Nothobranchius furzeri: one gene and its partners. The protein of the gene in region 6 interacts with the protein of the main gene of each other region in a pairwise test. Links are inferred from orthologs where the notes say so. Each region holds a gene or a part of one and is shown on either strand. Other genes may lie near its edges.

Region 1 (3,500 bases), on a different chromosome or scaffold from region 6:
CTCTTCTCGTTGTGCAGCGTTTTCTGCCACACTTTTTCCTTCTCACAGACTTCCCACTGAGGTGCCTTGATACAGCACACTGGGAACAGCCTATCGTTCAGAAATGTCTTTCTGTGTCTTAAGATCTTGCTTGAGGGTGTCAATGATGGCCTTCTGGACAGCAGTCAGGTTGGCAGTCTTACCCATGATTGCGTTTTTGAGTAATGAACCAGGCTGGGAGTTTTAAAAAGCCTCAGGAATCTTTTGGAGGTGTTTAGAGTTAATTAGCTGATTCAGATGATTAGGTTAATAGCTCATTTAGAGAACCTTTTCATGATAGGCTAATTTTTTGAGATAGGAATTTTGGGTTTTCATGAGCTGTATGCCAAAATCATCAATATTAGAAACAATAAACGGCTTGAACTACTTCAGTTGTGTGTAATGAATCTAATATATATGAAAGTCTAATGTTTATCAGTACATTACAGAAAATAATGAACTTCATCACAATATGTAATTTTTTTTGAGAAGGACCTGCATAACTGGGAATGTCACCTTAGATTAGGACTTGTGCTCCATCTTGTGGTGAGGTGACAGAGAGTATTGCAAGAGCACATTCTTGTTGCGTTGGAGGGAAGAGAGTTTGAATTCAGGGTTAAGCCGTTTGCTGGAAGCATAGCAAACTGATCATTTAAGTTATCACTACCTGTACACTTACTCTTTAACCTCAGTGGGTTCAATGACTAGCTGGTCCTGGAATGGCTCTAAGCTCACCAGTTTCCCCACATAAACCTGAAACGGTGTGAGCCGCATGGAAAATCAGTACAGATCTGATCAGATTCAAACCCCTTTTAACTAAACTACTTAATGTGCACTTGGTACGACTTCTGAAAAAACCTATTAGGTGTTAAAATGGCCGCTGAGCAAGGCAGGAACAACACAGCTGGCTGCAGGAGCGGGCCAGATCCACATCTCTTCAGCACCATTTTTATTTCACTGTAACGAGGCTTGAGGAGGATGTTGTTGGATCAGACAGTGATGGTCTGCTGCACAGGTGTCTCGGGGTGAAGCCTAGTTTATACGTCTCCATCAGCAAGTCTGCACTCACACACATACTGACTCTCTGTTGGTGTGTCAGTGAAACAATTCTCCACCAGGACAGCAGGGGGCGTAGTGCTTTTCTGGGGTATCATGCCATCAATGCAGGCACTTCTCTAGTGTGTTTACTATTGTATTCAAATATTTCAGAGACAAATTTGTCCCTTGTTCTCCTCCACCTTTTTATGTAGTCACCACCTCCAAACCCACATTTCTGGTAATTTACCGACAAGAGTAAAAAGTCTGCTGCATATCTTTGTACTCCTTCAGTCGCGGGTACATTAACATTTACATCGTCAAGCTGCACAAATGATCTCTAAGGTCACCTGAGCATCCAGAGGCTCTAAACATAACACAGTGATCTTCAGATATGACCATCTTTGTAACAGATGACTAAAGAGTAACACACTCAGGTGCTGCATCGGAGGTCCACGTGTGTTCTACAGAAACATTAGAAAAATGAAGTGCATATAAAATAGTCTTAGATAACTGAACTAGCCACCCAGGAACAAGTTAACATCACAGCATCATACCTTTTGTAGAGACTAAACGTGGAGGCTCTTCTACATCCAGTGTTTGCACCAGGACTTCTGGAGAAATCTTAGTGCCAGCAAAGATCCCAGAGGAGAGGGAGCTCCAAACCTCAATCTGAAACATTAGAGTTCAACAAAATAGACCACCTTACCACCATGCACATGTTGAACATTACACCATCAACACAAGCTGCCGTTTATCTAGACATGTTCAACGTATCTTGCTAGCACACCTCTGAATGACTGTCAATGAAAACAAAACCATTAGCTGAGGTGATTCAGCTGGAGCAACGGCAGTTTTGAGTGCTTTAGTCAGTCTGAATTTATGAAACGCTTCGTTTCAGTGAATCCCTGCCCATGCCCGCTCTGACAAAACATGCCTACAACGGCGTCTTAGACGAGTCAGGATCTCAGTTTGCCATGTGGCGACATGGGTTCAACTCCCGGTGGTGTCTGCAGTAATTTGTTTAGCCAGCTGTAGAAGATTTCATGTTTTATATATTTTAGTTTTATTGATAATTTTCTACTAAATATTTTGTGTCTCTAAAGATCTTTAAATTCAGTCATTTCCGAGCAGCATTTTAGTTGATTTATTCTTCTCACCTCACATGGAGTCACACTGGCTAAGTAAAAAAAACAAACACATTAGTTATATTTTACAGTTTATGAATAAAGGATTGAAAACATCATACTGGCAAGTGTAGCTAAAGAAGAAGAAATAGAGTTACTGCTCAGACCAGGATGTGAACCTGTGAAAAACTACATGCCAGCCCTGCATTCTAACCTCTAGCCTACCAAGTCCGTTACCACAGCAGTTGCCTAAGCCACATGTCCTGTGGTGGCCAGAGGAGACAGCTTTTAGACCAGACACTAGCTTCCGGAAGAGGAACAGGGTCTGATGACAAGAAATGTTTCCATTGAGGAGTTACAAGATTTTCAAAGTAAAACTCTAACTTTGCAGCTGAAACAGGAAAATGCATGAATTCAGCCAAAAATGGGTTTGGGGGGACTTTCCCGAGAGGAAACAACAATATCACATAGTAAAAAGCTCCCAAACATGGATTTTCTATGATGGCCCCTTTAAATAAAAATTGTTGCAGAGGTTCTAAACCATCGGTCAAACATACTCATGGGTACCTTATAGGGTTGTCACGGTGTGAAAATTTAACCTCACGGTTATTGTGACCAAAATTATCACGGTTTTCGGTATTATCGCGGTATTTATTTTAAACGTGTTACATTTTCAGAAAACTAAATAAACCCTGTATATCAGGAAAATATTGTCCTCAGTTTGTGTCTAAATTTAGCAAAAATTTGTTACTTTGTAATTATGTTGTTTATTTGTTTACATTTTTCCCCTTTAGTCTTTAAAATACCAATATTTGCCCATAACTTCTTATTTTTTGTTGGTTTGATGTTATCATTTTAAATACATTAAATCAGATGATACTCAGTACTCAAGTAGCCTTCTAATCAGATACTTTTTTACCCTTACTTGAGTAATAAACCCTGTATCAGGAAAATGTTGTCCTCGGTTTGTGTCCTTCCAGTGAGCTTTGCAGATTTGGGAAAATGTCATCAGGCAGTAATCATTGTTAAATTCATAATTATTCTCGGAGAGAGACCAACTCTTATCTGCCCCTGGGAGTTCCGTAATGCATAGCGTCACTTCAATATGGGGGTGTCTGCGACACGGTTTATATGCAGGTAGCGGCACTGCGGCTGCTTTATATAGCGACTCGTTGCATTCTCCCTCAACCCACGTATTTTAGCTAAAACGCTAACGTTAGCTTTGGTTGTAAACAACAAAGTGCGCATGTGCCGCCGGCAACTTCAGCAGATGACACAGTGGCTGGTAAGTAGGGATGGGTACCTTTGACATTTGAATCG
Region 2 (4,019 bases), on a different chromosome or scaffold from region 6:
TAAACCAGAAATATACTCGTTTAAACCTTAAAACTGCAGAATCAAATTTTGCAACAACTGAATTGGATTTACTGATTATAACTGGCTTTATTCTGGACCTGATATATGAATGAGTTCATTTTATTAGTGCTTTGAGATTTTCAGCGTGAACTGGTGCTTTAAAAACAATGTGAGTTTAACTAAATCGTTTTATTGCAACTCATGAATACACGTATATAAAATTGGTATTGCTGACAACAACCAAACATAAACACAACATATTTAAAATTTATGGCAGCCATGAAACTGTAATAATTGTAATAAGAAACACTCTGTTGTTAAATTCAAATAAACAACTGGATTGTTTTGTGTTTTAACCCCATAACTTCATTTTAATTTTTTTTACAAATTTGCACCTCCAAAAAAAAAAGCTAATAAAATGCGATTTTTCTATTTCCTCCTTGATGATAAAAAAAGATCTGAAATAGAAATGCAGCAAAATTTCTGCTCGACAACAACAAAACATAATTTCGTGCATCCTGAGGAGTCTTTATTGCAGGATTGTTGCTTTACGTTGCGTTTGTCTACAGAGTAACGACTAAGCCGTTACTCCAAGGGATCTCTGAACCTTGTTTTCTCCCGTTGTCAACGCCTTTCTCGCACAAACAGTTCTAGCATGATTTCATGCTGTAAGCAGATATCGGTGCAGTAGGTGGGACATTGGCGGTCACAGGAGGCTCAGCCCAAGGGAAACCCATCACCTGAGATGTTCTGAGCCCCGGAGATCAGTCAAGTCAGCCGAGTGAGCCGACCTGCGATAAACAAGGCCAGCGGACATTACAAAGAGTATTTTTTATTTGTTTTTAAGTTTCGTGCACAGGCAGATCAGCGCAAAAGGTCTAATTTTAGAAAACATAGATATGCTGCAATTCTTCTACTCTGATATTACCTGGGGACTAATGTGATTCACATGTGCACACGATATTGCACACAAACACATGCTCATACAACACAGGCCCCGCTAAAACACACACACACAAACACACACACACACACACACACACACACACACACACACACTTGAGTGTATCTTTGTATAAACACTAGAGAGAGTGGATGAAAGAGAGTGTCTGCCATGGATGCAGACAAGTTGCATTTGTCTTTTTCATGCTACGTCTCCGTGTGTGTGTGTGTGTGTGTGTGTGTGTGTGTGTGCTTTGGGGGGTGGGGTGGGGGGGTAGTGCGTTAGTCCCTCTTGGATGAGCACACACGGCTCAGGATGCGGCTGGGAGCATGAGTTCTGACCGTGAGGAGTATGACATGCTCTGTCAGAAAGCTGTAACCCTCCTTATTGACCTCTGCCTGCTCAACAGTACCGTGCTGGATCAGGACGCCTGTCAGGATTTCCTGTTGGCACTGACCAGTCAGGACTCGGACCACAAAGACGCAGGTAGGCGAGGATCTACAGCGCAGAGTGTACAAGGCAGCATGTGCTCCGTAAGGCGACATCTGCTCCCTGGAGGATGGCTATATAATTAATTTGTTGAATAATTTTTTTCTGTCCTGTTTATGTTTTTACTGCTATTGTCCTTATGTGTGAACTGTGGTGGAGGGTTCAGACAGAGTTTCCTGTTCCAAGCCATCAGGACACCCATGAGTTTTCAAAGTTATTTCGTCTCCTCAGTTTGAGCTTCTTTATCCTCAATGGATCAAATGTCAGCTGATGTCTGAAAAACAAGACGGAATTAGAATTTAATTTTGTGCGTTGGTAGCCAGCAAATGAACACGTGCAGCGGTTGTACAAAAGCAGAAGCATTCAGGGCTAATCTGCTAAGTTTCAGCACCCTGAATGAGATGTCTGACTTATTCACGAGGGCTGATTTACTCATCTGTTGCAGCCTCGTGGATCTGTTGCTCTGGCACATGTGAGCTCTTTAGGTACATTTCAACTGCAGCCTGTCAAGCAAAGCCTGAGTATTTTTACCATGTGTGTCGATAATTAAATTTACACCCTAAAAGGATTTATTTGTCTGTCTGTGTGTAAAATAGAAAGAATCAGGATGTACCAATCAAGACTCTTTGGCCCAATATCAATCCAAGTCATTCAGGATTATCTACTTGCATTAAATCTGAATCCAAGTCTTTAACTATATTGGTTTTTATTTATTTTACAATAAAAACATTAATGAATGAATAATTTTTGAATAATCTAAGAGCATTCTTAACAGACTTATTCTTGACAACATTGGTACCTTCCTGAGTGAACTATTATACTCAGGGCTGCTGCTGGTCCAGGCTAAAGAGGTGGTGGTGGTGGTGGGGGGTGGGGGGGGGGTGGGGGGGCTTTGCAAATTTCCTTGTTTGTGACATCACAAACGGGGCTTTTTGAAATGGCTCGTCTTAGGATGTAATTCCTGAAGCAAACACTGGCAGAAAACAGATGGACTTTTTGTTAGGTGTGGTGTGTTTATAGAGGCAGTGGAAACCCACCTTGCAGTGCAATAGGTGAGTTCTGCATAATACTATGTCCCCTTTAAAATTAATGCATGTGAGTTTTTATGGAGGATCACTGAGTAGGGAGACAGTATATTGACACAGGTTACAGGGTTTCTCATTATTCCCATTCACGGGTGTCTTAATGTCACAATATTTTATAATAATGTTTTAAAGAACAGCAGTTGCTTTGCCTGGGCTGCCACATTACCGTGGTGGAGGGGTTTGAGTGTCTCAATGATCCAAGGAGCTAAGTTGTCTGAGGCTTTATGCCTCTGGTAGGGTCACCCATGGCAAACAGGTCCTAGGTGAGGGATCAGACAAAGAGCAGCCCGAAGACCTCTTATGATGAATTATATAAATGGAAACCGTGTTCCCTCGCCCAGACGTGGGTCACTGGGGCCCCCCTCTGGAGCCAGGCCTGGAGGTGGGGCACTTTGGCGAGCGCCTGGTGGCCGGGCTTAGCCCAAAGAGGAAACGTGTGTCCCCCTTCCCATGGGCTCACCACTCGTGGGAGGGGCCAAAGGGGTCGGGTGCATTGTGTGACGAGTGGTTGTTGAGGGCGGGGACCTTGGCGGTCTGATCCTTGGCTACAGAAGCTGGCTCTTGGCACATGGAATGCCACCTCTCTGGTGGGGAGGGAGCCTGAGTTGGTGTGAGGTTGAGAGGTTCCGACTAGATATAGTCGGACTCACCTCAACGCATGGCTCTGGAACCAGTTTCCTTGAGAGGGGTTGGACTTTCTACCACTCTGGAGTTGCTCCCACTGACAGGCGCCGAGCAGGGGTGGGCATACTAGTTGCCCCCCATCTTGGTGCCTGTACGTTGGGGTTTACCCCAGTGAATGAGAGGGTAGCTTCCCTCCGCCTACGTGCGGGGGGATGGGTTCTGACTGTGGTCTGTACTTATGCACCAAACTACAGTTCAGACTACCCACCCTTTTTGGAGGCCTTGGAGGGGGTACTGGAGAGTGCTCCTTCCGGTGACTCCCTTGTTCTGCTGGGGGACTTTAACGCTCACGTGGGCAATGACAGCAAGACCTGGAGAGGTGTGGTTGGGAGGAATGCCCCCCGATCTGAATTCGAGTGGTGTTTTGTTATTGGACTTCTGTGCCAGTCATGGATTGTCCATAATGAACACCATGTTCAGACATAAAGGTGTCCATATGTGCTCTTGGCACCAGGATACCTTAGGCCGCAGCTCAATGATCGACTTTGTTGTTGTTTCATCTGACCTGCGGCCGCATGTCTTGGACACTCGGGTGAAGAGAGGGGTGGAGCTGTCAACTGACCACTACCTGGTGGTGACTTGGCTCAGATGGTGGGGGAGGATGCCAGTCAAACCAGGCAGGCCCAAACGTATCGCGAGGGTCTGCTGAGAACGTCTGGCAGAGTCTCCTGTCAGAAGATGCTTCAATTCCCACCTCCGACAGAACTTCCAAAATGTTCCGGGGGAGGAGGGGGGCATTGAGTCTGAATGTACCCTGTTCTGTGCCTCCATTGTTGAGGTGGCCGACCGGAGCTGTGGTTGCAGGATCATCGGTGCCT
Region 3 (3,500 bases), on a different chromosome or scaffold from region 6:
GAATATGACTGTGGGTTAGAGCTGTGAGGCAGCAGGACGATGGATTAAACCCAAGATGTCTTTCTGATCCTGTCGGCTACAGTTGTACATAAACCTGACCCCACCCCCTAAAAAATCTGTACTGGTTGATTAACATCTGTTCGGCTGGCTCTCTTGACAGGCATCACCCAGGAGATGATCAATGAGACGCGAGCGTCCACAGAGAGGAGGATGATAGAGGACATTCAGGAACTGCTGAGACGAGGAGAAGAGGTCAACCAGCAGGACTGTCAGGGAGCCGCACTGGTAAGCAGCTGTTCAAATGAGTTTTAAAGTTCAAACCCCTCATTATTGCTTCATATAAACATTAGAATGTAAAATCTGGTGTCTTTAGGATTTTGTGTAAATGTTTACTGTACAGACAGACATGCAAACAGTGCTGGTGATTGACGGCATATCAACAGATTATTTAAGTATCTCATTCACTGAGGAACCGTGCAGTACTCCTTCTTTTTCAAATAGGATTGGTCACTCTGAAAACTGTCTTTGGAACTTTGGCTCTCAGACCGGGGATGGCTGTGCTGATGTAGCAGCCAGGAGAGAGCTAGTAGAAGCTAACCACTAGCATTAGCAGTTAGAGTTTAATTTGTAGAAATAAATGAGTATTAATGAGTAAGACTCATAATCCTGCTGTTTTCCCAATCCCCAGTCCTGCGGTTAATTTCTTCTTTCTAAAACAGGAGCGCCAGAGCTCTTTTTCCACTGAAAGGTACTCAAGGTATTCATTCATAGTAGACACCACAGCAGTTTCATATAAACATTAGGGAATGAGAGCTCTAAAACTTTCAAGCATGGTGGTAGCAACTGATGACTTGGGTTTTTTTTTTTTTTTGCCTCAGAATTCGTACACCTCAGCAAATCAACCATAAACTTTCCAGAACTAACCAGACTATCGTAGAATCAAATATGAGACCATCTGTCCAAGAGCCTGGTCAGATCTGAGTCGTGGCACAAGAATGTCCCTCATAACAGACGCAGCAGCAAAAAGCAAAAGTTAAAGTTCAGTCTGACTGAAACCTAAAGGCAATAGTTCATGATGACTCGTCTATTGAAGCAAAGGCCCTCCACAGAATTATGGGACTGATGATGTCATGCAGAAGAATATGCTCACATATCTGCTAACAGTGGTTCTTTAAACTGTAGGAATCTTAATTTTTGCTCATTAGTTATACATTTCAGCTGAGATTCAGCTAAATAAATAATGTAACCTGTAAGAGCCCATTAAAATTATTATGTTGAAGGCCATATCATATTTATTGGTTCAGTAGTTAAACTCTTTCCTGCAGTTGGGCTAGTTTAAGCTATTGATTGCTAATACTGAGCATAAGCCTCTAAGTGAGATCAAGCAACATCAAACCAACTGATGCGAGGCCCGTAATTAGCGTTATCCCTCTGAGAAGGTTCTGGGTAACTTTCTGCCCACACACGCCGCAAGAAGAACAAAAAGTGTTTCGTAAAAATGAAAATTTAACAATCTTCATTATGAATGCACTCTTACGTTTGTCCTGTGCAGCAGCGTCTCAGGAGAATTTAAACCCTTCAGAGCTAATCAGGCATCAGACGGTCATAATCTTCTCAAAAGCAAGTCAAATGCACTCTGCTCATACACAAGTTATCTCATGCTGATTTTCACCTAAATACTCGCTTCAAAGTAGTAAAATGTAGTGAACACGTAGTGGTAAAAATGGGCAATAAGGAGAAATGGAAAAACACACATTTAGCCTGTTTGGCATCTTATGTTATAAAAGTAATTAGTTATATTTACAAATGACTTTTCCAAGAAGTGATTGAGTTAGTAACTGAGTTACCACATTGCAAAAGTAATTATTAAAATAACTGATGTTACTTTCATGTTCTACAGTTCATATGGATATCTGGAATGTAATTTCTGCTCGGAACAATGGAATTAAACGTATCCAGTCTGCCTAATAAATGTTTAAAAGGCCACCTTTAGGTTTTTAGGGATTCTGGGACATCTCAAACTTAATTCCTACTAGTACAGTTGTTGTTATTGATATCCTCAATTATAACTTTTATATCAACATAGCTGTTGATGTCTTCATTTGTAATGTATATGCAATTAGTGCTAGGATAAAATACATTATTGCTATACAGAAAAGGAATTACAGAGAGATCTGATGTTGAGATTAGAAATAACACCGTTAGTTCCAACACTTTGTCACTAAAATGTACGTTTTTCAAATTATTTTAATTAATGTAAGTCAATCTGATGTCACGCCATGATATAACGCACCTTTAAATCTAACTGAACAGCAAGGTTTGTGAATGCTAAGGCAATACCTGTTTGAGCAAATATTGGAAAGAATTCCAGCATGCTTGAGAATAAAACCTTGGAAAAGCCCAATTCATCATTCCCTAAATACTCCATGTTTATGTAAGTCAGCACTCTGTGTATTAATTAAGGGGTGTAGTGCATAAATTGGTCCCTGAACTTGTTTAGCCATTCAGAGCAGTGATGCATTCAAACAGGGCTCAAAATGGATCATCTGCATATAATTTCCTGAGAAGGATGTATAATGTCGGAGACCTAAATGGAGTCTTTATTATGCATCATGGATTTAGCGACGGTGCTGAAACGCATGGTTTCATCCCAAAATAACCCGGTTAATCTCTGAATTCGTACCACAGATTTGAGCGGCTTGTCCCTTTGCTTTATGCATCCTGTTGATCTTTGTTAGAATGATGAAAGCAACTGCATCATGACTTATAAACGAGAGCTTGATCCGGACAGAAATCTGACTCAATCCTTTATTTTTTATCCTAGTTGCAGCACGAGGTCAACATTTTCTGTTTGTTTTGAATCCAGTGTGGGGAAGGTAAATCTGTTAAATCTGGCTCCGTTGATCATATCCTCCCCCAGTGGAAGAATAATTTGACTGCCACAATCGGACCTTCTATTATTAACGTCTCAACCGTGTCCAGGCTTTTCTGTTCGAACATATTTATTCGTTTTGCATGGATGTGTGTAGAACTGTGGCCCAGATGTTGCAGCTTGTTGATGTTTACGTTGAGCTTAGAGCGACTCCACTCTGCACCTCGCTTTGACCCCGACCAGCTTTAGCTCCTTGTGGAGTCGGAGACTCCATGAGGGCATTTCGTATTGCTGGGGTTCCTCCACACACTCCCACACAAATATTCATGTGCTTCAAAAAAAAAAAAAAGTTTCAATCAAACAAATTAGAGTTAAGCTGCTGAGCAGACTTTAGAGATTTGTTTAATGTAATTGGACTGCTGTCATTTTTAACTGCTAAATCAAAATACATCCATATTTTTCCTTAGCTGGTTTTTGATGTTTAACGTTCAAATGAATGTAATACAAATAACATAAAGTAGATAATCGGCAGAATTACACTTATTGTTCAGTAAGGGAAAATATAGGTCTGAAAATTAATGTTTGTTTATGAGGTTCTCTGCACCTGCTCCTCCAGTAGCAGCTCTCT
Region 4 (4,166 bases), on a different chromosome or scaffold from region 6:
CTTAGGCGTAGTACTGAAGGTTTGCCTTCTTCTTAGCCTGGACCTCCAGGATTCCCTCCATGTAATCCTCGTGGTTCAGCTCTGTGGCTCCACGACGCAGTGCGATCATACCAGCCTCCACACACACAGCTTTGCACTGGGCGCCATTGAAGTCATCAGTGCAACGAGCCAGCTCCTCGTAGTTGACATCTGGACTTACATTCATCTTGCGGGAGTGAATCTGCATGATACGAGCTCTTGCTTCCTCATTAGGCATGGGGAACTCAATCTTCCTGTCCAGACGTCCTGAACGAAGCAGTGCCGGGTCCAAGATGTCCACTCTGTTGGTGGCAGCAATGACCTGAAAAACAGGAACGTCATTACTTGGGTTAAATTCTGGATTAATAAACTTTGAAACTGTTAAGGTAGTAGTCATGTTTACCTTGACTTGCATGTTGGGCTGAAATCCATCCAGCTGGTTGAGCAGCTCCAGCATGGTCCTCTGCACCTCTCTGTCTCCTGCCTTCTCACTATCAAACCTCTTTGTGCCAATAGCATCCAGCTCATCGATGAAAATGATGGATGGGGCTTTCTCCTTGGCCAAAGCAAAGGCATCCCTCACCAGCTTGGCTCCATCACCGATGAACATCTGGACCAGCTGTGGACCTGCCAGCTTCAGGAAAGTGGCCTTGGTTTGAGCGGCGCAGGCCCTGGCCAGGAGGGTCTTTCCTGTGCCAGGTGGTCCATACATCAGGACTCCCTTGGGTGGCTGAATTCCCAGGTTTTCAAATTTCTCCTTGTGATTCATGGGAAGGACAATAGCTTCCACAAGCTCCTGAATCTGCTTATCGAGCCCCCCAATGTCACTGTACTGCTCTGTGGGGCGCTCATCCACCTCCATGGCCTTGACTCTGGAATCATACTCGGTGGGAAGGGTCTCCAGGATCAGGTAGGAGTCTTTGTTGACTCCTACCAGGTCTCCGGGCTTCAGCTTCTCGGCATCTACCAGACCGATCACCGGCAGGAAGTAGGTCTGTCGCGTCGAGGTTTTAATGACGGCGCACTTTCCTTTTCTCTGGGAGTCCAGATCCACGTTAGCTCCGTCTTCCTCCTGGTCGTTGGGGTCCACATCCAGCAGCTCGATCACATTAGAAACTAAGTAAGGCAGCGTTTTGTTCACCTTAATCTTCTCCGTGTTTTCTTTGATTTTATCCTTCATGGCCTGTAGCTCGTGCGTCACCCGGAGCACCTCGCTCTTCATAATCTTTATCTCACTGTCGAGGAGACGAGTCCGCTGAACTATCTCCTCCGTGGACATTTTTAACACTTCTTCACCGATACCATCCTCCACTTCGTCCCAAACTGATTTGTCACTCAGCGACGCCATCTTTGCTGTGCCTGGTGTGTGAACTGTGACGCAGCGGAAGTTAAAGCTTCCTGTTCCGGTTAGCGCCGATAAGCAGACTGGGGGTGTCACGGAGCAGTAGCTAAGTTTGTGGACATTGTTAAATTTTAAAGGTATGTGTGTAAGTTGACTTAATATTTTGTTGTTTTCAGTCACAAACTTCAAAATTATTCGCAACTTTTTGACATTGGGAATTCGTTGTCACTAAACGTTGCTCCTTGTTGGCTAATATTAGCTTTGCGGCTAACTTCTGCTAGCAAGTGTGTTTAAACGTTTCATTTTGAAAGTTGTCAAGCAGTTCTTCTGAAATTGCAACGTTAATGCAGGACATGCTCTTTGGCATAAATGCACACTTGTTTAACAGGTTGTCTCAAGAATTGTGAATCATAAGTAGTTACACCTCCGCAGCCGCTGCAGAAAATGCTTTAAAACTGATTTGAGAGTTTGTGTTTGTAAACCGTGTTTCTGTTGATGTTTACTTGCGCAGGATAAGAAAACTAGGAGCAAGGAGCTACGAGAACGTGTTTCTCTGGAGTCCCATCCTATTTTTGTGGCATTTTTCCTGCTCAGGCCCTAGAAACGGTCAGATTGAAAGTTCTGACTGCTCTTGTCCGGCAGTGTTGAACCTTTAGGAGCTGAAGAGATGGATCAAAACAACAGTTTACCAGCCTTTCAAGGGCTGCCATCCCCTCAGGTAATTTAAATTAGAGAAACACATTTTTTTCTTTCATATTTTAATTCTTTTAGTTCTGTGTTACTTTCTTACATTTTTCCAGTTCATTTAATATTTTTACTCAAGTTTTCAAGATGTAAAAATGTATATTTTTATACATTTGATACAACTTTTACATCTCTTTTCTTCATCCTCTGTCTTTGCCTGTTAAAAAAAAAGCATTGGGACATATTTAAACACCTTGCTGTCATCAATTTGTTGAGTTACATTTACCGGAATTAATCTTGGTAACATTCCTTATTGCATGTCTGTTTAGCTGATATTTTATCCCAACAATAGTTTCATTTAAAACATTTATTTTCTAAGAGACAGACTGAATTTCACTGGCCTCAGTTTGTTTGTTGTGAACAAACACTCAGAAATCCACACACACCTGGTTTAGAAGCTTATGAACTTGACATGCTCAGCTCACTTTTCTTTTTACTGTGCAGCATCAGTCCTCTAGTTAAAAAGTTACTTTAGGCTTGGTACATTTAGTTATTCCTCAGCACAACAGACAGGCATTACATCAGCCACCATTATTGCTGGTGAGAGGGTTTTATTTTTTTGAAAATGAAATTTGAAGAAAAAGAGAAACTGTTACTGAAAGTCTTTTCTTGCCAGGATTTATGTGATCTTAATTGTTTATGCTTGTTTTTTGGGGGACTGGTGTGTCCTTGTGCAGGGTGCCATGACCCCCATGCCTATGTTTAGCCCCATGATGCCGTATGGGTCAGGTCTGACGCCCCAGCCTGTACAAAACACAAACAGTATATCTATACTCGAGGAACAGCAAAGGCAACAACAGCAGCAACAAGCAGCAGCAGCACAGCAGGCCAGCACAGGTACCAGACCAAATGTTGTTGGTGTTCCTTTTTATTTATTCTGAGAAATTATTCTTAAAACGCATTGTGTAATTTAATCTTTACTTCAGTATACAAGGACAAATGAAATATTTTGCTTTGCAGGTCTTCCTGGGACCTTGGGGCAGACTCCTCAGCTGTTTCATTCCCAGACAGTAGCAGGCTCAACCACAACCGCCCTCCCAGGAAACACACCGCTGCAGAACGCTCCGCTGACCCCCATGACACCCGTCACACCATCCACACCTGCTTCAGAAAGCTCTGGCATTGTACCACAGCTACAGTATGTCCCATATAAATTCTGTTGGAGTATTAGCAGCTAACGCTAAATACAAATGTGCAATCTCTGTTACATAAGTCTATGATCCTTATCCCAACCCTTCTTTTTATTAGCTTTTTTTTAAATTTTGCTCTTAGAAACATTGTGTCGACTGTTAATCTGGGCTGTAAACTGGATCTGAAGACCATTGCTTTGAGAGCCAGGAATGCAGAGTACAACCCAAAGGTAAGACTAAAATATCAACCTTTTGCTGCTCTGCTGTCTTTTGTAGCAGCTCGTAGGAGAGCTGTTTTTATTTACCGACTTTTTTCTCATCTGAAGAGTCAGATTTGCCCATTGTAATATTTCACACAGATCCAAATGAATGTCTGTACACCTAAATTCGACAATTTAGTCTAATCTGTAATAAGTTATTCCTGCTTTAATGTTTTTAGCGTTTTGCTGCCGTCATAATGAGAATACGAGAACCCAGAACCACGGCTCTCATCTTCAGCTCCGGAAAGATGGTCTGCACTGGAGCCAAAAGGTCTGAGTCAAATAATGTTTTTTGTGCTTCCTCATGCATGCAGATTTCCTTTACACTTGTGTTTTATCTTCTGGCTTTCTTTCTGGGCTAATTCTTACTCATGCTTTTTAGTGAGGAGCAGTCAAGACTAGCGGCTAGGAAATATGCACGTGTGGTCCAGAAGCTCGGGTTTCCCGCAAAGTTCTTGGACTTCAAGATCCAGAACATGGTGGGCAGTTGTGATGTGAAGTTTCCCATTCGGTTGGAGGGTTTAGTCCTCACACATCAACAGTTTAGCAGGTACGTGTTTTATTTATTAATCTTTCATAATCTTTGTGGTAAATATGTGATTGTGTTGCGGTTATTAAACTCTGAACACCGGTAAAACCCGGCAGAATCCCCCTGCAACGATGTAATTAACG
Region 5 (3,338 bases), on a different chromosome or scaffold from region 6:
GGGCTGCTCGATTATGGCAAAAACAATAATCACGATTATGGTGACTGAAATTGAGATCTCGATTATTTAGGACGATTTTTCAATTTATGTTGATTTTATTTGTTTTATTCAGTCATAAAATTGCTCAGGGCACAATCAGGACAAAAAGAAATAAGAAACAAGATGATCACTAAAATAACTCCTGATTCCCAGTATAAAAAGACCAATATGCTCATAGTCTACGACCCAAGGGCTATAGACCTTGGTTTAACTCATTTAAGTCTAACCAGTACAGACCCAAATACCAATATCTTGCAAATACTGACAGCAAGAATTATACAGTGGCATTTATAACAAATAAATGCAAATAAATTGATGTTCACAAAATGTTGCATAACATTTATTTAGACATGTCAAGGTGCTGTAGGAGAGTGCACTAGCACCGTGTCCTCAGAGAGATTAGTTATTATTTATCAGCGTGAGGAACTTATTTCTACCTTATTTATAAACTATTTATTTACAAGTCGTCCATCAGTTAATGTAATAATTGTCCCAATCACAGCTGCACCCCCACCCCCCAACCCGGTCTCAGCAATCAGGGCAAGCTGCACGTGTGTTTAGCACGCCGCACATTTAGCCGTTTTTAGTGGCTCAGGAGTCCGCAGGTGCGGTGTGTGTGTCACTCACTCTGGTTACTCCAACAGAGCCGGCTCTGAGAGCGATTTCTTTAGCGACCGACACATCACTACATCATTCCCTTTCCTAATGTCCTGAAGAACGGTCCGGAGCGCAGGCGGAGTGTTTAGCTAACCTGCAAGAAATGTCAACAACAGTTATCCAGAAAGTAGCTAAGGGTTACCAGAGATGTTTGTGAGGTGATCGCTAGGTACTTTTAAGATTTAAAAAGTCAAGACGGGGGTCTGAAAAGCTGTTGGAAATAGCGTCAGAGTCGCCAAGTTGGCAACACTGTGGGAGGAGCGCTTCATTTGCAACTCAGGGCAGCGCAAGTGGGAGGAGCAAATAATCGGCTTGTTTTGTTTTTATAATCGTTCAAAACTCAGATCGTAATCGTGATTAAAATTCGATTAATTGAGCAGCCCTAACTGACACCTTTGCCTCATTCTTCACTGACAAAGTGGCAGCTATAAGCAGTTTACTCAACTGGCCCCTCCAGAGCATTCGCTACCACAAACTCCTTCTAGCCCAACCATCTCAAGCCCTACTGCTTCATTTTCCTTTTTCCCCTCTCACTGAGGACTGTGTGTCCAAGCTTCTCACGTGCAGCCGCCCTACTACATGCCCCCTCTACCCCATTCCGACTAAGCTGCTCTAAGCTATTGCTCCTACAGTAGCCGCAGCAGTCACACATGTGATCAACGCTTCACTGACATCCGATACATTTCCCACCTCTCCCAAGCATGCTCAGGTTAAACCGCTGCTAAAAAACCATCTCTTCCTCCAAATCATGTGGAGAACTACCGACCTATCTCTCTCCTCCCTTTTCTGTCCAAAATCATGGAAAGGGTGGCTTTCAAGCAGATCACAGAATGCCTCTCACAAAACCGTCTGCTTGACCCTTACCAATCTGGGTTCAGAAAGGGCCACTCCACTAAAACTGCTCTGTTAGCAGTGACAGAATCCTTTAAAGAAGCTAGAGCGACAGGCAAATCCTCAGTGCTTATCCTGCTCGACTTATCAGCTGCATTTGCCACTCTCTACCATGGGCATCACAGAGAAAGCACACGCCTGGTTTGAATCATACCTCACAGGACGATCATTCAGTGTTTCTTGGCTTGGACAGTCCTCTACCGTGCACCATCTTGCCACAGGAGTCCCCCAGGGCTCTGTACTAGGACCTCTTCTCTTTACCATATACACCACCTCACTGGGTGAGATCATTCGATCACATGGCTTCTCCTACCACTGCTATGCAGACGACACCCAGCTCTGTCAGTCATTTCCACCGGACGACCACACTGTCTCTGCACGAATATCAAACTGTCTCTCTGACATATCAAAATGGATTAAATCCTACTATCTCCAACTCAACCTCTCTAAAACTGATCTACTTGTCATCCCAGCAAAACCATCCATTCAGCACAATATCTCAATCCAAAATGACTTCCTATCTCTGGCTCCTTCAAAGGCAGTTCGAAATCTGGGTGTTGTGATTGATGAACACCTGACCTTTAAAGATCATGTTGCCTCTGTTGCCCGTTCATGCCGCTTTGCGCTGTATAACATACGAAAGATCAGGCCATACCTAACACAACATGCCACCCAGCTCCTGGTGCAATTTACTGTCATCTCCCGCCTCGATTACTGCAACGCCCTTCTAACTGGTCTTCCAGCCTGTACGGTGAGACCTCTTCAAATGGTCCAGAACGCAGCGGCGCGTCTGGTCTTCAATCAGCCAAAAAGAGCACACGTCACCCCTCTGTTCATTGAGCTCCACTGGCTACCGCTAGCAGCACGCATCAAATTCAAATTGCTAACACTAGCATACAAAGTCCGAGATGGTACAGCTCCCATCTACCTGAATCCTCTTGCAAAGGCTTACGTCTCGGCCCGGCTGCTCCGGTCATCACAGGATCGTCGGCTAGCAGTGCCTCCACCACGCTCAGGACAATCCAGACTCTTCTCATGCATCGTTCCACAAATGTGGAATGACCTACCAAGCACTACCAGAACAGGAGCTTCCTTTTCAATTTTCAAGAAACTCCTGAAGACCCTGCTCTTCAGAGAGCATCTTCTTAACTAGCACCCTCCCTGCACCCGTCCCCTCTCTACCATCCACTCCTTTGTTCCCTCCTCTCCATGACTGATGTCAAGTTGTTGTTGTTATTGTTGTTGTTAGCCTCAAGGGCAACATGCCGATTATCACTTGTAAGTCGCTTTGGACAAAAGCGTCTGCTAATACATAAACATAAACATATCTCCATAAACACAGTAGCAAAAGAAAAAAGAAGGAACAGCCTCATGTGGAGGTCTGTTCGGTTCCTAAAGAGCTTCACACCTCGGTGGTAGAGCGCGGAGAGGAAACCCTGGCGGTCGCTCCCCTGAAACAGCGCTCGTTCAATCTCCATCTCACGGCGCGACAGTAGGCAGCTGGCGGCGAAGCGCTGAGGGCGGGACAGCAGTTCCGCCCTGGCGTCCATCTTGTCTCTGATGACTTGGAGACGCTGCTGCCTGGCATCTGGAGCTGGACACACACCGCGGGACTGAGCAGGCAAAATGGAGGGGTTTGTTTAGCATGCATCACTTAAGAGTTTCTGTAACTCACATTTTTGTATAATTTTGTACAGAAATGTATATTTTCTGGAAGTTTTACCTTCTCTGCTGCCTCTGAAGCGTCTCTG
Region 6 (3,500 bases):
TCTCCTAACACAATGGATTCTCTGCTTCCTGATCACGTGACGTGTGACGTATGCGGATGAAGATCGGCTTTGGAGCTGAGATGTTTGTTCTCACAGTGCGGGGGCTCGTTCCGATGCCCACACCGTAAAAAAATGCAAATGATGACTTTTGTCGTCAATGGCAGTGAATGAGTTAAAATGAATCTCTTTTCCAAACCTTGAACATCAAAGCTCCACCTCAACACCTCTGCTGACACTCTGATCCCTCAACAGGAGGACTTTATTCGTGGTGCTCTGGCACAGCTAGAAGCTGAACGAGATGAGGTCAAGCAGTTACTGAAGGAAGAGCGCAGGCTCCACTTGGCGGCCCGGCAACAAGCCGCTGTGGCACTCCGGCTTGAGCAGCAACATCTAAACTACAGACCTGTTCATGAAAATGGTCAGGACCAGAATCAGGACCAGCACACCCATTGTGAACACGGCCATGAACTCCCAGGTTAGACACAATTAAAGTGGTTTGTATTGGATTTCACCAGGACTGCACCACTCTGACGAGTAAATTAATGTGACTCGCTTTTAACGTTCTGTGATTCCGTGTTAAACCCTCCAGATGGAGGCGTCCCAGTGGAGGTACATCAGGCTCTACAAGCTGCAATGGAGAAGCTTCAGCAGCGTTTCACCTCCCTGATGCAGGAGAAAGCTGATCTGAAGGAGCGGGTTGAAGAACTAGAGCACCGCTGCATTCAGCTGTCTGGAGAGACCGACACTATAGGTCAGGCTGGACATTAGCGTCATGCTGAAAATCCCTTTTAAATTTCGATTTGGTGTATATTCACCATTACTGTGTGCCTGTTTCTCCTTTAGGGGAATACATCGCCCTGTACCAGAGTCAGCGAGCCATCATGAAGCAGAAGCACCAAGAGAAGGAGCAGTACATCAGCATGCTGGCCCAGGACAAGGAAGAGATGAAGGTTGTATAGTCACTCGTGTGGATGCAGGTGTTTTTACCTGGTTGGAAAATGTTTTACTGTAAATATAATAAAATTATAATTAGCACTTAAAAAGTTAACGTGTTATCGTGAAGCAGTATCTGTGTGTACAGGAGCATCTGTTTGATTAGAAAACTCAGGCCAGACGCTTCCAAGACACAGCCAGTGTTAAGCCTGATTCATGCTTCTGCGTCAGTGCGGAGACACGCAACGCCATTATCTGTCCTTGCGGGCCTGCTGGAGAGTCCCTGCTAGGACGGATGGAGTCGAGCTCTCTTTTCTAAGCATCCATCCGTCAAGACGGAGAATGCAAGCTTGTGATTGGTCAGGGTACCGCTGTCGTCTACACCGCCGCCATTGCTCCCTCAAAAAAAAACATAAAGAGAGCCGAGGATAACTAGCGGCAGACACGAAGAAGCTTTAAGAATACCTCGTGAAAAAACTCCAAAAACATGAACGTTTAATTCCCCCGTGACTGGAGGAGTAAAAAGATATGCAGCAAGCATTTTTTTGTGGACGGAAATGACAGGAAACGTGGGTTTAGAGGTGGAGAGCCCATGAAAAGGTGGAGGAGAATGAGAGACAAATTTGTCTGTGTTAAAAAGTCTCCAAAAAACAATATAAACACACTATCTTGGACCGGATACATGACAGGATACCACAGAACAGCGCTACACCCTCTGTTGTCCTGGCGGGGAATTGCTTTCCAACACTCCCCAGGAGACGGAGAAGTATGAGGTCAAATGTCTCCGCCCGTGCGTGTCTCTCCCTTTTGGAGCTGACGGAGAAGCATGACTCAGGCTTTAGTGCCAGATTGTGTTGCTGCGTCAGAATCATCGACATATAAATATTGGACAATGGGTTTCCATAGGCACCAATAATACGTTTTTGAGCCAAAATGGGAGGTGGCCACCACCGCCATTTTGACCGTGTCACAGGTTCCGTCAAGCCCAGACAATTCCACAAAAGGGAAGAGAGGTGGAGCTGAGGGTGTGGCTGTAAGGCTGGGATCAACTGACGACACCCGGTCGAACTAGCTACAAGCTAACCTGAAGCTAACGCGGAGGTGGGAGCTAAGCTAACAGAGGTAGCAACCTAGCTACAACCGGAGTTAACTGTGCACAACACCAGAGCTTCTGAGTCAGAGATACGCTGGGCTGACCGCTGGGTAAAACCGGGTGGAACACAGAGATCTCCCGAGAGCTGCTGAAAGCCGGCAGCCCGCACAGCAGACAGAAGCCGCGATCAGACAGAGATGCGCCGAGCTGCGGGGAGGGGAGAACCGGGTGGAAAACATCGGTCTCCCGAGAGCTCCACAAGCTGATAGTCGGAACCCAGCTCCACCAACATGTTATATTTCCACCCATTTTCTAAAGTGCAACATTATGTTAAATGCACTGGGTTTTACCCTATTACATTTAAATTTCATGGTTAAACAGTACATGTTAAAATCTAAGCTCAGCTCGGCAGTGACCTAAAATACATAAATATAATTTTACTTACAGAAAAAAATGAAGTGCTGACTCCTTGGACGCTCTATTAGTGCAATTAATGCCACAGCAAGTCATTTTGTCCAACAATTGCACAAATAATATCCAAAAAAGAATACACAAACACAAAGACTAAAAATCCCGGAACAGTTTCCAGGCCAGGCCGAGGCTCTACTGAGGCTTTTCCCCAGAGCTAGCTCTGCGGTCACGTGGGTCTGATGCTCATTAATTATTCAGAATTTTAGGTCATTTAATAAACTTAAACAGAAGAGTGACTAAAAAATTCACCCCCCTCAGAGTTGTCATGATTGTAAACTAGATCTATTAAACCTAAAACATGTTTTGGTACCAGGCTGTAAACATGTTTATTTCTGCTATGAAATTGGTATTTTTAACATGGGAGTCAATGAGGATTTGCTCGCTTCTGACACCAGCCCCCAGCGGATGAGGGTGGAACTGCAATTTTTGGTACTTCCGGGTTGGGCTCAATTTTTGAGACGCATTGTGGGGGCTTGGTCAGAATGCAGGCGGTAAAAACTGCTGCCACCTAGCTGTCGGAGTTTGATTTGCACCACACAAAAAATATAGTAAATGTTTGCTTGGAAACTTCTACGTAAAAAATTGATTCACGGCTTTTAAATATCGATTAATTATCAACACGCTTAAATATCCCAATATTTACTTGTAGCAATATACAATACAGTAAATTCAGTTATGTAATTAGTGTAACAAGAGATTTTCATAACATTTTCAAAGAAATCTGGTCTCAAATTGAATGTTTTCCTTTCTTTTGCCTCTCTTTGCATTTTTCATCCCACACTTGATCGATGAAAATATATGAAAAACTAAAATGGGGAATGATACATACATTTCTACAGATGCTTGTTGTATAATATGCTGTAAACGATAATAAAGGAACATAAAACAAAAAGAAAAGTAAAATAAATTTCTAAAACATGAGAAGCATGAACTTTATCATGTTACCTACATTTATAATTTGCAATTAATTTGATAATAATCACGTATTAACTATGAAACTCAT
Region 7 (4,278 bases), on a different chromosome or scaffold from region 6:
GGAGCAGCCAGGGCTGTGAGGGGACATGGTTTTATTTTAACCACTGAGACTGAGGACGCAAAAAATCTGTGCTCTTGCTGCTTGTGTGAATAAACCACCACCAAACGCAATTTTAGCATGGACATTGCTTGATGTGAAATCTTTTTACCCGTGCGTAAAGCCTAAACCTTGACGTAGCCCAGTGGCCATTTGAAAGTATTTGATTATTTTTTGTTTAAGTTTTATGGACAAATAGCCGCTACATTTAACGTCTACAATAATTCACAATTTAATAATAGGATGGTGTTAAAGGAGTGAGTCATCGCTGAGTAAAAGACATCCAAGATAGCCGGCACTGCTAATCGACAGGAATGCATCGCCGTGCTCACCCGCGTCCGGCAGGGAGGAAGAGCGGTGAATATAATGTAGTGACCGGCAGAGCTGGGTAGAGTACTCAGATTACACTCTGGTAAAATTTGAAAATGCAGATCAATTGTCCTGTTATGTGAAGAACAGCTCACGAAATCCAGTTTGGAAACAAAGGTTTGCAGAAGTCTCATGTTTTAAGTGAAGCTAAATCATAAACAAGGCTAAAAATGTACCCTTAACTTATCCAAGCAAGACAGATTAACACTTTCAGATTTGGAACTGTAACAAAAACTAGTAGAGAATACAAACGGGCTTAAACCGGCTGCACTCTTTTGATTTTCACCCAGAAACAAAACTTTTGGTCACGTCCGTGGTCCTTTAGCCTGACAGTCTCACCTAAAGACAAATGTTCTCATGCTGAAGATGTTTATGTCACAATTAACACAACAAGATGACCTAGCCGGTCAGTGAAAGCACACAGTGCTTACCTGAGGAGGAGTGGGCGCTGTGGTGCTGGTTTCTGCTGCACTCTGCTGTAGAGTCCTGGAGACCGGCTGTAGTGCTGCTGCAGCAGAAGGCCGGGCGGCAGCCATGTTGGTGTTGGGACGGGTGGGATTCACAGGGACGGGAGGACGGGGTGCTGTGTAGGCATCGTTTTTAACCACCTTGGTGATCGGGGCTGTCATGGAGAATGTTGAACCTACTGTACCAGACTGTATGAAATAAACATAAACAATTACTGTAGAAAACAAACAAGACTTTGGCTGACGATCGAACTCAGCTCACCCGTGACTGCAGCATTGCGTTGGCGGCTGTGATCTTTATTTGTTTGCTAGGGATGTCATCAAATTCATTTGGGGCAGGCTGGGAAAACAAAGCAATCTATTAAGTTACATCCCTAAATAGATTTCAGCAGATATGGGATATTGTTCTATTAGAGCACAAAAAGAATCGCACCACTTGAGTAGCTGCACGTATTCCGGCCAAAGCTCCCACGGGACGCTGCTGCAAATAGATACACTACATATTAAAAAGCCTATTCTGCTTTCAAGGCTCATAAACACCATATATGTGCAGGTGGCATAAATGATCCAAATGAGTTTTTCCATCCTCACCTGTATAGTCTTTGTTATTTGTAAAGGTGGGCCAGCAGTTGCTTGTGTTTGTGTTCCTCCAATGCTCCTTTTGAGGCTCAGTCTATCACGGGCATCCATCACTCTTATGTTGTTGTTCAGCTGTGATGCTGTGCTGCCCCTCAAACTCAGTCCTTGTACAGTAGGAGTAAACTGCCTCGTGTTTGCACCGCTCATGTTGTTGTTGGTGTTAATCTGTATGTGTGGCACAAGTGTGTTGCCCTGTAGCTGCTGCGTTATGGCTGCCTTTAGTGTGGGCTGCACAGAAACACTGCGCTGAACCTGCCCCTGTTTCCGTGAGTTGATCATCTGGCGAGCATCTTGCACTGTTCCGGCTCCTCCCCTGCCACGGATTTTGAACCGAGCATCTTTCTGAACCAGTTTTTCTCTGGCATCTTTGACTTGAAAACCTGAGATGCGATAATTAGTTCAACAGCAAAATGCTCACTGGGCACTGCTTTTTCAGCACTGAAGACTCAACCTTACCTGTTCCCCCTCCAAGACGTCTAACATCACTCAGGCCAATTTTCTGCCTGGCATCAAAACTTTTCAAATCACCTCCTCCACCTCGTCCAAATACGGGCCTGAGGGAAAAATCAAACTTCAAATTAAACCACAAACGCATTCTCAAGTTGTGGAATTTTTAGTAGAATAGACTTTTTATCGTAAGTTAAATATGTGAAGGTAAATATATTTACGGGTCGCCTAACTGCTATTTCGTGAAGCTATAAAACGATACAATTAAATTATCCAGGGGATTTCAAGCACGTCTTTTAGCAACAGCGGTCTTAGCCAAGCACGGCTAAATCCCGAATAAATATTAGCTAAAGAACTAGCTAATATGAACCAGTGAAGCTACAAAACAAATAACCCGCAAACGCCCATTATAGCTATAGTTAAATGCGTTTAAACAAGCTAAATAATTACACTACAGGTTAATTTATTTTAATATAACGTGATTTATAACTTGAGGCCTGTGGCTAACAGCTTTGCTTTAGCCTGGGACGGGATTGTAGCTAACCATAACAGGCTATCGTTAGCATGCGGTCCCAAAAAGGCGAACGGGAGCGCGTTATGCTTTTAAAACACCAACGCGCTTGTCTTAAGAAGCATTTTTCATTTTAATTGTAATAAAATTACCGTTTGACTGAAATCTTGCGGTCAATACCGCGCTGTCGTATCACTTCATCCAAAGAAACGTCTGCCATTTTCTCTCAAACTTTTTCAACTGCGCCTGCGTATATTACCGCCGCCTAGGGAAGATACCTAAACAGCAGTTTTAGGCCAAATAAGAGATCGATTGTGCATTTGAGGATGATTCGATTTGCTTTGATTTGATTCCCCCCATTTTAAATCAACAACATGAAAGAGGTAAACCATGTTTTCTTCATAACAAATTAAACAGAGAAGAAACCAAATCAACTTGTGAACAATCTGTGATCATTTACCCTTGACTGAAAGCAAAGGCTCGAGCTCGCCAAATACCCATGAGCCTTTGCGTCATTTCCACCACAAATGTGAAATGTTTTGCCCAAATCCTGATGTTCACGTTAACGTTAAAACATATTTTTACGTAATATTACTATTTAAAAAGCAATATATTCGTTTAAGTCCACATGGTTAACTGTTGACAGCTTTCACAGGTGACACCATAATAGAGAATGCCATGTGGTTGTGACTAGTGGTATGATCGGAACTCACTTGGTTATGCCTTAAACTGATGAGTAAGGAAAATAACGATGCGGGGTGACGCCCGTATCCTCGTTCAAACTACGAGAAGAATTTTTGAACGGGTACAGGTCTGCCTGCTGTGGTGACTCGCCTACTTTGCGAGATGCCTCGTGGGACTAGGACCTTGCCCGAACCTTATCATGTAAAAAATAAAAACCATTCTAAATCTTTAGACGTTAATTGGCTCAGTCATGTTCAAATTCTGCTGATACTTCATTTAGTTTAAAGAATTTACATTAGCTTGTTGATGTCACTCTAGATAGGTATTATTATCGTAGTATTTTGGAAGCTGTGATGTAAACAAACTCAAACTCCCAGAATGCATTTGGGCAGAGTTAGCTAGGGAGCTGTTTCTTCTCAGTCTCTCAGTCGGTGTCCCTCGCACGGGAGAAATGGCTGCGGCTCTGTCCCGTGCCCTCAAACTGCCCGGTAAGATGCGCCACACCGGTTCCTCCTCCTCAGACAAACAGAACAAATCGAACCTGTCATTTTTAAACCATCGACGCTTTTCGGTTATCTTTTTTTCAGGTGTCGGCATGGCGCATGCGACCCATTCATTTCATTCATTATGTCAGCCGTTTCAGATTAACGTGTGTTAAAGTGTTATATAATCTGGATATTAAAATGCGTGAATGCAACCAGCGGGTTTTAATGCCAGCTAATGTTTATCCAACGCAGATGATGATGATGCGCATAAAAACCGCATTCCATTTTTTTCCCTGCTAGACCTGTCCGCTCAGAAATAGTCATTTATTTACGAAGGAAAAAGGTTTTAAAAATAAATTCACCGAGGTTTTTGGGATATGGCTGCTATCTACAACAGTATTATTATTATTATTATTATTATTATGTGGTTACAACCAGGGGGGCTGCCAGAGATTTTGGGCCCCATGAAAAAATATCAAGTTGGGCCCCCTGGACTGATTTAATAGTACTTTAATTAATTATTTATGTAGATTAAGTTTTTACAAATCAAGTTTTTTAGTGCATATAGTTTTTTTTTAATTGTGACTCTGCCCAAGGACTAACAACATATTTTCTGCAAAGTAGAGCGCATGTTAACACA

Evidence for each region.
Region 1: the proteins of golga2 (region 6) and slx9 interact in binary tests that used the Homo sapiens proteins (3 or more experiments, as listed by UniProt). The two-hybrid records come from large-scale screens. The link is inferred for Nothobranchius furzeri from reciprocal best matches to the Homo sapiens genes GOLGA2 and SLX9.
Region 2: the proteins of golga2 (region 6) and syt6a interact in binary tests that used the Homo sapiens proteins (3 or more experiments, as listed by UniProt). The two-hybrid records come from large-scale screens. The link is inferred for Nothobranchius furzeri from reciprocal best matches to the Homo sapiens genes GOLGA2 and SYT6.
Region 3: the proteins of golga2 (region 6) and ppp1r16b interact in binary tests that used the Homo sapiens proteins (3 or more experiments, as listed by UniProt). The two-hybrid records come from large-scale screens. The link is inferred for Nothobranchius furzeri from reciprocal best matches to the Homo sapiens genes GOLGA2 and PPP1R16B.
Region 4: the proteins of golga2 (region 6) and tbp interact in a two-hybrid assay, tested with the Homo sapiens proteins (2 studies listed by BioGRID). The two-hybrid records come from large-scale screens. The link is inferred for Nothobranchius furzeri from reciprocal best matches to the Homo sapiens genes GOLGA2 and TBP.
Region 5: the proteins of golga2 (region 6) and rbm41 interact in binary tests that used the Homo sapiens proteins (3 or more experiments, as listed by UniProt). The two-hybrid records come from large-scale screens. The link is inferred for Nothobranchius furzeri from reciprocal best matches to the Homo sapiens genes GOLGA2 and RBM41.
Region 7: the proteins of golga2 (region 6) and poldip3 interact in a two-hybrid assay, tested with the Homo sapiens proteins (2 studies listed by BioGRID and IntAct). The two-hybrid records come from large-scale screens. The link is inferred for Nothobranchius furzeri from reciprocal best matches to the Homo sapiens genes GOLGA2 and POLDIP3.

Annotation. Positions count from the first base shown.
Region 1 is NC_091743.1:79,934,187-79,937,686, forward strand, and holds part of slx9 (ribosome biogenesis protein SLX9 homolog), read right to left. Parts: intron 1,726-3,500; coding exon 1,611-1,725; intron 1-1,610. UniProt on the Homo sapiens protein: May be involved in ribosome biogenesis.
Region 2 is NC_091755.1:39,508,325-39,512,343, reverse strand, and holds the start of syt6a (synaptotagmin-6), read left to right. Parts: upstream 1-1,219; 5' UTR 1,220-1,272; coding exon 1,273-1,429; intron 1,430-4,019.
Region 3 is NC_091743.1:61,208,466-61,211,965, forward strand, and holds part of ppp1r16b (protein phosphatase 1 regulatory inhibitor subunit 16B), read left to right. Parts: intron 1-160; coding exon 161-285; intron 286-3,500. UniProt on the Homo sapiens protein: Regulator of protein phosphatase 1 (PP1) that acts as a positive regulator of pulmonary endothelial cell (EC) barrier function. Involved in the regulation of the PI3K/AKT signaling pathway, angiogenesis and endothelial cell proliferation.
Region 4 is NC_091749.1:35,000,480-35,004,645, forward strand, and holds the start of tbp (TATA-box-binding protein), read left to right. Parts: upstream 1-1,366; 5' UTR 1,367-1,497; intron 1,498-1,871; 5' UTR 1,872-2,027; coding exon 2,028-2,078; intron 2,079-2,781; coding exon 2,782-2,941; intron 2,942-3,064; coding exon 3,065-3,242; intron 3,243-3,376; coding exon 3,377-3,464; intron 3,465-3,673; coding exon 3,674-3,765; intron 3,766-3,876; coding exon 3,877-4,044; intron 4,045-4,166. Other genes in the region: psmc3 (26S proteasome regulatory subunit 6A), read right to left, coding at 2-340, 422-1,366. UniProt on the Homo sapiens protein: The TFIID basal transcription factor complex plays a major role in the initiation of RNA polymerase II (Pol II)-dependent transcription.
Region 5 is NC_091750.1:69,606,606-69,609,943, forward strand, and holds part of rbm41 (RNA-binding protein 41), read right to left. Parts: coding exon 3,311-3,338; intron 3,201-3,310; coding exon 2,996-3,200; intron 1-2,995. UniProt on the Homo sapiens protein: May bind RNA.
Region 6 is NC_091746.1:54,869,445-54,872,944, reverse strand, and holds part of golga2 (golgin subfamily A member 2), read left to right. Parts: intron 1-252; coding exon 253-475; intron 476-589; coding exon 590-751; intron 752-843; coding exon 844-950; intron 951-3,500. UniProt on the Homo sapiens protein: Peripheral membrane component of the cis-Golgi stack that acts as a membrane skeleton that maintains the structure of the Golgi apparatus, and as a vesicle thether that facilitates vesicle fusion to the Golgi membrane.
Region 7 is NC_091752.1:66,994,372-66,998,649, forward strand, and holds the start of poldip3 (polymerase delta-interacting protein 3), read right to left. Parts: upstream 2,801-4,278; 5' UTR 2,690-2,800; coding exon 2,622-2,689; intron 2,066-2,621; coding exon 1,968-2,065; intron 1,892-1,967; coding exon 1,464-1,891; intron 1,354-1,463; coding exon 1,306-1,353; intron 1,213-1,305; coding exon 1,135-1,212; intron 1,062-1,134; coding exon 837-1,061; intron 1-836. Other genes in the region: protein FAM234B, read left to right, coding at 3,605-3,641. UniProt on the Homo sapiens protein: Is involved in regulation of translation. Is preferentially associated with CBC-bound spliced mRNA-protein complexes during the pioneer round of mRNA translation. Contributes to enhanced translational efficiency of spliced over nonspliced mRNAs.